Linked DNA regions of Arabidopsis thaliana. The protein of the gene in region 2 interacts with the protein of the main gene of each other region in a pairwise test. Each region holds a gene or a part of one and is shown on either strand. Other genes may lie near its edges.

Region 1 (5,922 bases), on a different chromosome or scaffold from region 2:
TTCTTCATAATCTGATTGTTGTTGAATCATGACATAGTAGCAAATGTTTCCAGAAATATTCTAATTAATAATGGTTACAGAATCTTCTTAATTGCAATTCTCTATATGCATATATGTTTTTAATGGCGATGCTGATGCTGAGGTTGAATTGAACTGAACTTGATAAGGATAAAAATAAACACTTGGGATATAATATAATATATCTTTTTCTGTAAGATCTAATTCTGTTTTTGCTTCTATGAATTATGACCTTATGGCAAAATCAGGTGGTCAATAATACTAATAAATGTCCATAGTGTTTGTCTTTGACAATTAAGTCTAACTAAATCGCATGTGATTCTCCATGTTCTGTATCAAATCTACTATATCTATCGATTACAGGTACATGAACCGAGATAAACCTTGCAACTCGTAATCAAGAATGACGAAGAAGATTAACAAAACAGAACAGCGACTCTGTTTTGATTCGTATATAACACTTGAGTTACTAAACCAGGATTAAACCGTTACAGCCAATTGTAATTGACTTGCACGAACCGAAACCCTCTGTTTCAAGGCACTATTTTACATTTTGGGTCTAAATGAATATTGAAGGTCTGTAATAACTTTCACCCTCTGACAAAACATAAAATAAATTACTTGAAGACTATGATTTGATTTGTTTTGGGGATAAAGGAAATAGGTTATTAGAAAGAAAATAAGATAATGGAAACGATGAAGATTAAGAATACTGAATATATATAGAGATCAAACAGGTGATATTTGTTGTCCATAGGATGAACACACAAATCAACACTCCATCATTAGCCTCAAAATGGGATACAAAATTAAACACTCCGAAAATCCAATTTAGTTGCAGTAACTTAGATAACAAGAAATCCCAAAAGGTTCTTCCATAGCTCATACTTATATATGATGAAGAAGCAATCACCATTTTAAGGCGATGTAGACCTTGTGGAACCATTTCCACTACTTGCTACCGGTAATCTCGATTCAATATCTTCATTACTTTCACTCTTGACTTTATGGTTTTGTTGTTTCACCTTCTCCCTTTCTTCTTCCTTCTCACTCACCTCTCTGTCTTTCCCCCACAATACGCCATAGAGACCAATAACCACAAGTGCTGATCCCATAAACCTAATATACATATATCATATAAATTCATCATCATCATCTCGTTTATATAATGTTTAAACACACAGAGAGATAGATAAAGATGTATAGAAACATACGTGCCGGTGTAGAGTTTCTCTTCAAGAAGAGCCCAGCTGAAAATGGCGACAACTACGAGAAGTAAAGGGCTGAAAACAGAGACGTACAGAGGACCTTTCCTCTGCATAGCCCATGACATTAGGCAGAAAGCTAACGCAGACGCCACCACTCCCTGCATGATCCGTGTTTTATACTAGTGTCATATATTTTTAGCTTAAGATTGTTATCTAATGATCATAGTATATGTATGTGGACTTACGGCATAAAGGGCGGATATGAAGCGGAGAGGAGAGCTGAGAGACCAATCAGAGATTGTATGATCGGAGATCAAAGCAATGGCTCCACATTGGATACTTCCCATCAAACACATTAGTAGTGTGCTCGTGTACGGTGCTGCAAATGTTTCACTCATCTTCGTCTGTAACCAAAATAATATTTATCATAACCAAATGAGAATTTAGTTTCATTTTCCATTATGTGGGTTCAAATTGTTTGAAGCTACATTTTTTTTTAATTAAGTAATTAAGTTACCTGGATAATGAACCAAGCGGCCCAAGAAACGGCAGCAGCCATAATAAGAAAAGGTCCCAAGAAGAAATTAGAATGGCCAGAACTGGAACCATGTTTCGTGATGTTTTCAGCGTAGGCCCAATGGATCTTGGATTCTCCAATGCCGATGGTGTGACCATGGTAGAAGGAGAGAACCATGGCTCCGATCACACATACTAGCGTCCCTATCACTTTGGCTTGTCCTGATGCCTTCTTGATCCCCACGGTTTCTTGTCTGAAAAGAAAAAAGTCTTGTGTTAAGCAATAATCATAAACGAGTATTGTCTGAAGGAAACTTAATTAAGATTAATTTCATATAACCTGAATATTGCGGCGAGGAGGAAAGTGACCGCTGGTAAGAGATTAGTTAAGGCACAAGCAATGGTCGGAGATGAATTCTGAAGTCCTACGAAATATAGCACTTGGTTTCCAGTCGCACTGCAAAGAAAATCAATGTAAATCGCTTTATAACAAAGTAAGATTGCAATTAGTAGGTAAAGTGTATGTAAGATACCCAGTAATGGAGCAGAAGAAGACTTGGACAAGAATCCTAAGTGTGATCTTCGGTCTTGTCTTCCTGCACAAGAAACCGTGTATGAAAAATTTATGTTTTCATTAGTCCACTAATCATTATTAATCAATTAAAGCATTTCTCATTGAATGTAATCATGCAACTAATCCTAAAACCACCCGGTTAAGTTAAACCGAGACTCAAGAAAACAATCAAATTCACTTCTCATATCATATGAAGAGATTAGAGTGGAGAAACAGAGTAAAAAACGTAATTGAAGAAGCACGTGTCTTGGCAAATGAAGATGGCACGGCACCTGACGACGCTTAACTCACCTGGCATCATGATTTGTTTGTCATCATGTGCTTCGGTTTAAGAAAGAAACGTGACGCGTGGATTGTGTGAGACTGCGTCACATTTCTCATTTGTTTCTCTCTCGGAAAACGGAATTAATGATAATGTAACTACTTAGGTTTCCACATACCACCAAAATCATTGACGGTACCATGATTATGAAAAAATAACGGTAAATACTAATCCCAATAAACAAAAGAAAAAAGCTAGTGTCTACTACATTTCAACTAATTAATCAGCGTCACTTTACCACTTTTTTGTCTTTTTTTTCTTTACCACATTTTTCTTCACATTCTGAATTAATATTATTCATCAAGAAACTTATAGCTTACCATATACCATTATATGCGTATTCTATCGTAATCTCCGGAAAATAAGACGATGTCGTGCTAAACTTTTTTTCTTAATTATTAGTTTAGTGTTTTTAATTTTTAGTCTTCTAAATGGAGGTTCATTTGTTGCCAAAATTGTAAAATAATAAGAAGTAAATTAATGAATTTAAATCTATTCAACGTATAGTACTGATGAATTAAGTTATTAACATATATCAAAAAAAATCTTGACCACAAAAAAAAAAGACTTTAAGCATGCAGTACTTCTATGTCAATAAATTAAAAAGCTTGATTTTTGAAACTTTTGGAAAGTAATAAATTTAGGTGACGCAAGAAAGTTCAAAGACGTAAAAACGTTCTACATGAGACTCACAAAGCCATTTAGTAAATGGTTTTTCGTCGTTAATATTTTAATATACGCACTCACCATTTTGACGTTTATGTTGATGAATATGATTTCATCATTTTCTACTTTCGCAGTTAAGACAAACTTGAAAACACAAAAAAACAATGCTAAAAGAAAAATTTAGCTAATCAAAGTTTAGCATTTCTTGCTGATCTTTGTAAAACATAGACTCACCACCTAAAACCTAATTACTTTTAACCCCAAAAAAGTAATAAAAACACCCATATGCTTTATTCAAGAATTAAAACAAATTCAACATTTCATCGATGCAATTGTTTTAATCGTGTAATTCATACATGTCTAAAATCGTTAGTTGATCAAATAAGATGTATATGGGCAGATATTAGTATGGTTTTTTTTTTACCGTTCGAGAAAAAATGCGACCGGAAAAGTGGCGATAGTGGCAAATATCTGACGATAAGCGACCAGGATGAGTGGCTTCATACCGGCCTCCATAGCCATCTTCGACGTAATGTTCATGCCTGCGTAGCCGATTTGCACCAACACCATCGCCAAGAACGGCAACATATCTGATTTAGCCATCTCTCACTCTCTTTTATTTTATTCTTCCAATTTATGTGTTTATGTGTATCTCCAAAATATGCCTCTCTCACTATTACTAATCAATAATAATAGGTCAAGAAACCAAGAAAAAAAAATAAGGGAGAGAGGTGGATTCTCTATATCATTTATTAGTTTCCCCAAATCTATATTTTATTTTGGTTCGACCTTATATTTATAGCCAAAGATGTATATATACACACATTTATATATACATGCACATACATATATTTATTTATATACATACATATATATAGAGAGAGATGTTTTAAACAGAAAGGTGAGAAACGGTTCGAGAATGAAGTTTGCTTGTAACACTTGGACTCTCTTTAGGGCATAAGAACACGAAACAATAGGTGATATGAATCATTTGATATTTTTGGCAATTTATTTAAATTTTCTCCTTGCTGATTACTAATACAATCCAAATTGGCGTTTTGTCAAAAAAAAATCTAACTTATTTTCCTCGTTTTAATCCATTTTTTTGGTTTCCGTTTTTTCATGGGTTTGGTGGAGCTTGTGAATGTCTTTCTCAAGCTTCAAGCAATCAATTTGCCTTTGCTAAAACTCGTTTCTGTGATATTAAACCAAGGGCTTGGTTTATCGCTTGATTAACAATATCGAATTAGTATTATCTTACGTATTTTGAATTGATTTTCATTATATCACTCTTGCTTTTTGTCAAACTTTTGTGTGTGTAATATATATCATAAATGGTAAATTAACTATTTATATCCCAAAAGGGTTGGAAGTTGGGCATGGATTATCGAATATATATTGAATGGCATGCATCTTATGCAATATAAATATAACTAGGTAAGTATCCGCAAAATGTATGCATCTAATTATTTCTAAAATTTAATATATAATTAAATTCATGATTATATTATTACATGTTTCAGTTCGACTGCATACTGTATATATACTATATATTTTTAATGTATGAACTAGGTAATCATTTACACAATGGGTTGGACATACGTAATTTAAGAATATCTTTGAAAATAACTGGAATTTATATCATTAAAAAGTAGGATATAACTAGAGTGGCTAGTATAATTTTCAGAAAACTAATTAATTTTTAATTAAAAACTATACTGAAACATAATGATTTATATATAAAACTTTAGTAAACTAAAGTAAAATGCATAATGAAAACTTGTATAATATAAGAAAATCTCATATACAAAACAACATATATTGTTGGGCCAATTATTGGTCTTAAAAGGCCTCATTTATTCTTAAAAGGCCTTTCCTTAGGTGTACAGTGACTTCCTTGAGCAAGAATGTCATTTCATATGGATAGAGATAAAACATTGGTCTGTAGTCAGCACATAGGTATACCAAACACGTTAAACTTTTTTGTTGGCTGAAATTTGAGAAAGTAAGTGATGCTTAACATTTTGCTGGATATCAGTGGTTAATTTTTATACGAAATGCTTTTGGAGTTGAAGATGAATAAATTATGAGTAATGCTCCATTTGCATAAGTCAAACAAGCTAGCGTTGGCGTCCAGATGATTAATTTCCGCGTCCTCTTTGGCTTCCAAGTTCCAACGTAAATTTTCGCCGCATATTTTTTCGATCTTATCTTTTCGTTGTTACGTACAAAAGGAAAATTCCATTGTACATTCGTTTTGGATATATACTTTAGGATGCATATGCATATTTATGTATGAACAATTAGCATCTACATTGGAGCTGGAGCCAACAGTAAGCTTGAGTTATGTGTCTGTCACTGTCAACCACCAACATACAAAGTCTTAGGCTTTGTTTTTAAATTCACTAAAGAATCACACTCACACACTATAGCTTAAAATAAGAGAAATAAGGCCCACACACTTAAGGCTTACCATTATTACAATTTATTACAAAGCTTTCGATCTTCACTCTATCTTGATCAAATCTCTACTAGCAAGTTACAATGGCTACTCTCTCTCTTCACTCCCACTCTTTCCTTCTTGTTCTCCTTCCGTTTATCCTCATTCTCCGACAAAA
Region 2 (4,657 bases):
AAATCGCTAGTCTCCATGGAACAGATGAGATGAGAAATAAAAGGGAGGTTAGCGACCTTGTTGTTGTTGTTGTGTTCTTACATCTTCTTCTTGAACTAATAATGGAAAACAGAAAGAAAAAAAATGATTCGTGAGCTCTGGTTTGACAGAGAGAGATAAAAGGGTCTTTGATTAAAGATCTTTGTAACTAAGCTGTGATTCTTTTTTTCAATTTGAGTAAGCTTGACTCACGAGTTTCTTCTATGTAATAATCTAAATCAAATCTCAAGCCACACTCTAAGTGCTCGATAGTCCTGACAGAGAGATAAAAATCTTCGATTCTCAAACATACCACACTCCAAACCTTGAGCCATAGTGCATTCATCGCTTAGATAAGTCACAACTTTAGTGTGAATCACAACTCAGTGTAAGTCGCAACTCGCAGCCCAGTCTCTCCTGAACAACACAAGCCCAAGGAGTGTGGTTCTCTTGTACTTGCTCCTGATCATATCTTCAACTTAACTATTTGGAGAGTCCAATACTTTCCTCTGTAATTGTTTTGATGAACTAAAACATTAGTATAAAGATGTTAATCTACTGCTAAAAAAGTTACTGATGTTAGCAACGAAAAACAGATCTAAACCATTTATAAGTTAACTTGTTTCATGAGGAGAATATTTATGACAAGAAGTAAAGATTGTCTAAAGAGTACAATGCTGGAACAAAAAAAGTGTCGTTTAAAACCCTAAATTTCCTCAAGACTGAACTTTAAACTTGGAAACTCTTTCAAAACGCCGAAGCTGAGTCTATAACAACTGGAAGGAGCAAAACAGCTCTACTTTAGTTCTTCTTGTTCTTTGTTTTCCCAGACGATGTCTTGGCCAAAGTAGTTCCCTGAAGATAAAAAAACATACCCTTCAATCAGATTATTCAATCACACTGAAGAGGAGGAAGAGGAGGAAGAGTACAAAGAGAGAAGCGAACCTCGAGCCATTCATCGAGTGATGCCTCGGTAGACCTAGTTCCTACTTCCACCTTGGAAACCTTTTTGGTTTTCTGGTAAAAGAGGAGATTATCAAAGGAATGTTTAACTGCACAAATGATGAACCAGAAAAAGAGATCCAATGGTTTACCTTGGTGAGACGCTGAACTTGGCTGTATGCCCATAGACCGAGGAGGAGGAGGAGACCGATTCCGAGTGTTAAAAGGAAAACAGATTCGCCGCTGAGAAGACCTCCAGATTCAACTACCTCTATGGTTCCATTGTAGAAGACACTCTGGTATGGCTTTCCTTCCACATCGTATATGATATAACCCACCAGATCAAATGCTCCAGGCTGTGCAACACCAAGCAAGATTAGATCTTTCGGAGTTTTTTCTCAATAACAATTGTATTTTAAGAATGAACGAGAATGATGTATTGTCTATTGTGGAATATGTTTACCTGCAAGTACTGGCTGACTGCAAAGATGTATGGGAATGTTGCTTGAAGAGACGTTGGGATGGATGCATTGTTAAGTCTCTGCAATAGAATGCAAGCATGTGAACAACAAAAAACAATAAAATGATAACAAATATTTAGACAAATAGTTTCCTAGTCAAATGCTTACCAACATGGTTAGATTCTGAACCAACAACTTATGATCATAAGGAAGATGAACGCTGGCCCTAATTCCCATCACACCTACTCTAGTTTTCCCTGTTAAGTCACAGCCAATTTGGAGATATTTAGTTTTGACAACAAAACAGAAAACTCAACACAAAGAGAGCTAAAGCTAAAAGAGGTATTAGCTACCTTCATTTTTAAGACCAACAAGGAGCTCAGTCTCTTCTCCAGCTGGAACCACTGCAGGAAACAAAGAGCATTAAAAACCAAATCTTTAAGATCACAACAACGGATAGATAAATACGTAAGAAAGGAGGAGTAAACACATACATTTGGCACTGTTTTTGGGGAAAACACAAACAGTCTCAACTCCTGGAAATGAGGACAAGTTCATATCCAAATCATGGTCATCTTCCTCAACCGCATCATCAGTGTTTTCTCCCACAACATCGTCAACAAGACTTGAATGATCCTCGGCATCCGATTGACATCTAGCAACTGATCAAAAGAAACAACATGAAAACACATCAGGTCACTAAAGCATAACGTCTTCTTCAGAAAATGTTACAATTTGCAATTTTTCCTCTACCCAAGAACAATGGCGAGTGTAAAGTAAGAAAATAAAGACATGCAACGAAGACACTATTGAAGAATCTATTACTAGGGGATTCGATCTACGTTTTAAAGTTTGTATCTTTGAAACCACATTGCTCTAGGATTGGCAGCAACACACAAAACACAGAGCTACAATGTTCGAAGGCAAAGTATTGTTAAAGGAGCTCAATTTCACTCGGATCGATGAATAAGGACATAACGTTACCAGATCCTTTAAGAAACCAGATCGGAAACAGAGATCAAATGTGAAATCCAATCAGAAAACGCGAAGGAAACAAAACGGATCTAGATCTACAAAATCAATGGAAAAACAAAAAGAGAAGAGAGAGGAGACCTACCTTGAAGCAGAGGAGATGCAAGGAGAAGGAGAGCGAGGAACAAAACCCTAAGATTCATCATCGCTTGATTCTATCAAATATGGTCAACGAATTTGCGAATGAATGAGAACAGTGTCTCTCTCGATGCTATTTATGCTTTTGCTCTTTCACACTAAATTAATTTATTTCTGAAAAAAAAAAGATAACAACACAACCATAGAAACCCTCGCAAAACGACAGCGTTTTGTCTGGTCTCTCAATTTATTTCGTGTGATTTTGTTGCCTTGTATACATCAGGGGATTCACAAATTGGTTTCTAACATTCTTAATTTGTGTGCTCTCATTATAAATTTGTAATCACAAGATCTCATACTAAATTTTCACATGACATGAAAAATCACAAAATAACGGGTACTAAAGAAATCAAACAGTTCCATTATTTTAAGAAAAATTAAAAAACGAGTGTAATGGTACATTGAGGGAAGAAGAATGAGCATTAAAAATGCCATGAACATTCCACTACTATTACACCAAATCTGATCAATCATGTCAACAAACGATCCATCAAAAGCATGTTCTGGTCCAGAATTAATCCCCATGGACTGTGTACCGTTCCCATTTCTTTGTCGGGTCGTAAATCTGAACAATTATAATGCAAAACAATAAGATTCAAAGTCTAGCTGAGAATGAAAAGTGCAGAGAAAAGATTATTTGAGAGTTACCTCCCATCTGGAAGCAGGGAATATATGCTTGTTCTTCTCGTACCAATGCCTCTCCACAACTTTACCCGCATGCGACTTCATTAACACCACATTTTACAATGCTTTAGAAACAACTTTCCATCATCAAACTACTCTCTTTTCTCATGTGATCGGGTCAGGGAAACATACCTCGTCTTTCTCTATCGTTGCATCTGCTATTGTTCTCACGTCTTCATGCACATCAAAGTGAAACAGCTGTTAACAAGAACAATGTAGGAGAAGTGAGTCTCGGTTACAATTTCTATATAAACTGAATTTCAAAAAGTGTCGACAAGGCATACCGGCCCACTCTTCCCCCTCGCTTTGTTAATGATCAGCTCATAGAAACTGTGTTGCTACATTTACAAAAAAATACCCCATGTTATCGTTAAGTCCTATATAGTAAAGGGAGGATAACTTGGTAAGTTTAAAGGGTTCTCACATGTGGAATAATAAGATCTTCCTTTACATATAGTAAATTCTCCACTGATGCCGTCCGAATCTCCCGGAAGTCAGGGGCAAGCTGCTGCTGAACAGCCCGCAGAAAATTCCCAATTGGGTCACCCTTGCGGACCTGTAAAATGGGTATATATCATAAAGGTAAGTAAATGATCACACACGTAAGGCTCAAGCAGTATGACAAAGGTGTAGTTTGTGCTTGCCTGAATAACTCGTCTATGGCCAGTCCCATCCCAGTAACTGTAAGTAATCTCAAGAGGCTCGTCTGAAAAACAAAAAATAGTTAGACAATCTTCCTTGAATCAAGTATTACAACTGAAATTAGAAGGTAACTAGAAAATGGACAACTTTTAATCTGCTCTTGTTCACGAAGCCACTGCTTCTTCAGCCTTTCACGTTCAGCTTGTTCCTCCGCCTCCCTCTCACTGAAACAGCAACCTCAAAACACCACAGCTAAAGTTGAGACTTACTGCAAAAGCAGACAAGGAAGATAAAGATAAACAAGAGAGCTAGAGATCACCTGTCAGGCAGGAAATTCGTTTCCACTGAGGGGTCCTTGCCAAGTTTTCCGCAGCGTAAGTTCCCTGTCCCAGAACTCTCTGCATAAATAGTGTACATGATAGAAGTTACAAAAAGGACAACATTAGATGATATTATAAATTCCTACGCAGCAAGCTATTTGCATCTCAAATCCTCCAACAACCAAGCAATATTCCAATCTACATTTGTAGAATTAATGTCTGTAATACATGATGAGATTCTTTATTACTGCAAAAGATGGAGACTATATTTTGTCAACTTCCATACATTTTAAAAAGGATTTTATTAAATCTGCGAAAGATAGATAAATATTTTTTCAACTTTTACAAAAAGGAAAAAAGTTATAGTGGTTTAATTGAATGACAGCATGTATCACACCTAATCCTAACTATACCACAATT

The links.
Region 1: the proteins of AT2G21160 (region 2) and UMAMIT25 interact in a protein complementation assay, tested with the Arabidopsis thaliana proteins (one large-scale study listed by BioGRID).

The regions. Positions count from the first base shown.
Region 1 is NC_003070.9:3,025,416-3,031,337, forward strand, and holds UMAMIT25 (nodulin MtN21 /EamA-like transporter family protein), read right to left. Parts: upstream 4,135-5,922; 5' UTR 3,908-4,134; coding exon 3,729-3,907; intron 2,339-3,728; coding exon 2,276-2,338; intron 2,200-2,275; coding exon 2,083-2,199; intron 1,997-2,082; coding exon 1,744-1,996; intron 1,631-1,743; coding exon 1,472-1,630; intron 1,385-1,471; coding exon 1,233-1,384; intron 1,138-1,232; coding exon 936-1,137; 3' UTR 647-935; downstream 1-646. Other genes in the region: AT1G09370 (Plant invertase/pectin methylesterase inhibitor superfamily protein), read left to right, coding at 1-10; AT1G09390 (GDSL-like Lipase/Acylhydrolase superfamily protein), read left to right, coding at 5,849-5,922.
Region 2 is NC_003071.7:9,066,370-9,071,026, reverse strand, and holds AT2G21160 (Translocon-associated protein (TRAP), alpha subunit), read right to left. Parts: upstream 2,776-4,657; 5' UTR 2,600-2,775; coding exon 2,539-2,599; intron 2,084-2,538; coding exon 1,916-2,083; intron 1,826-1,915; coding exon 1,775-1,825; intron 1,679-1,774; coding exon 1,590-1,678; intron 1,502-1,589; coding exon 1,424-1,501; intron 1,317-1,423; coding exon 1,113-1,316; intron 1,036-1,112; coding exon 964-1,035; intron 874-963; coding exon 820-873; 3' UTR 734-819; coding exon of another isoform or gene 717-733; 3' UTR 554-716; downstream 1-553. Other genes in the region: XCT (XAP5 family protein), read right to left, coding at 3,106-3,156, 3,240-3,314, 3,408-3,473, 3,560-3,613, 3,700-3,831, 3,920-3,981, 4,065-4,141, 4,237-4,315. UniProt on the Arabidopsis thaliana protein: TRAP proteins are part of a complex whose function is to bind calcium to the ER membrane and thereby regulate the retention of ER resident proteins.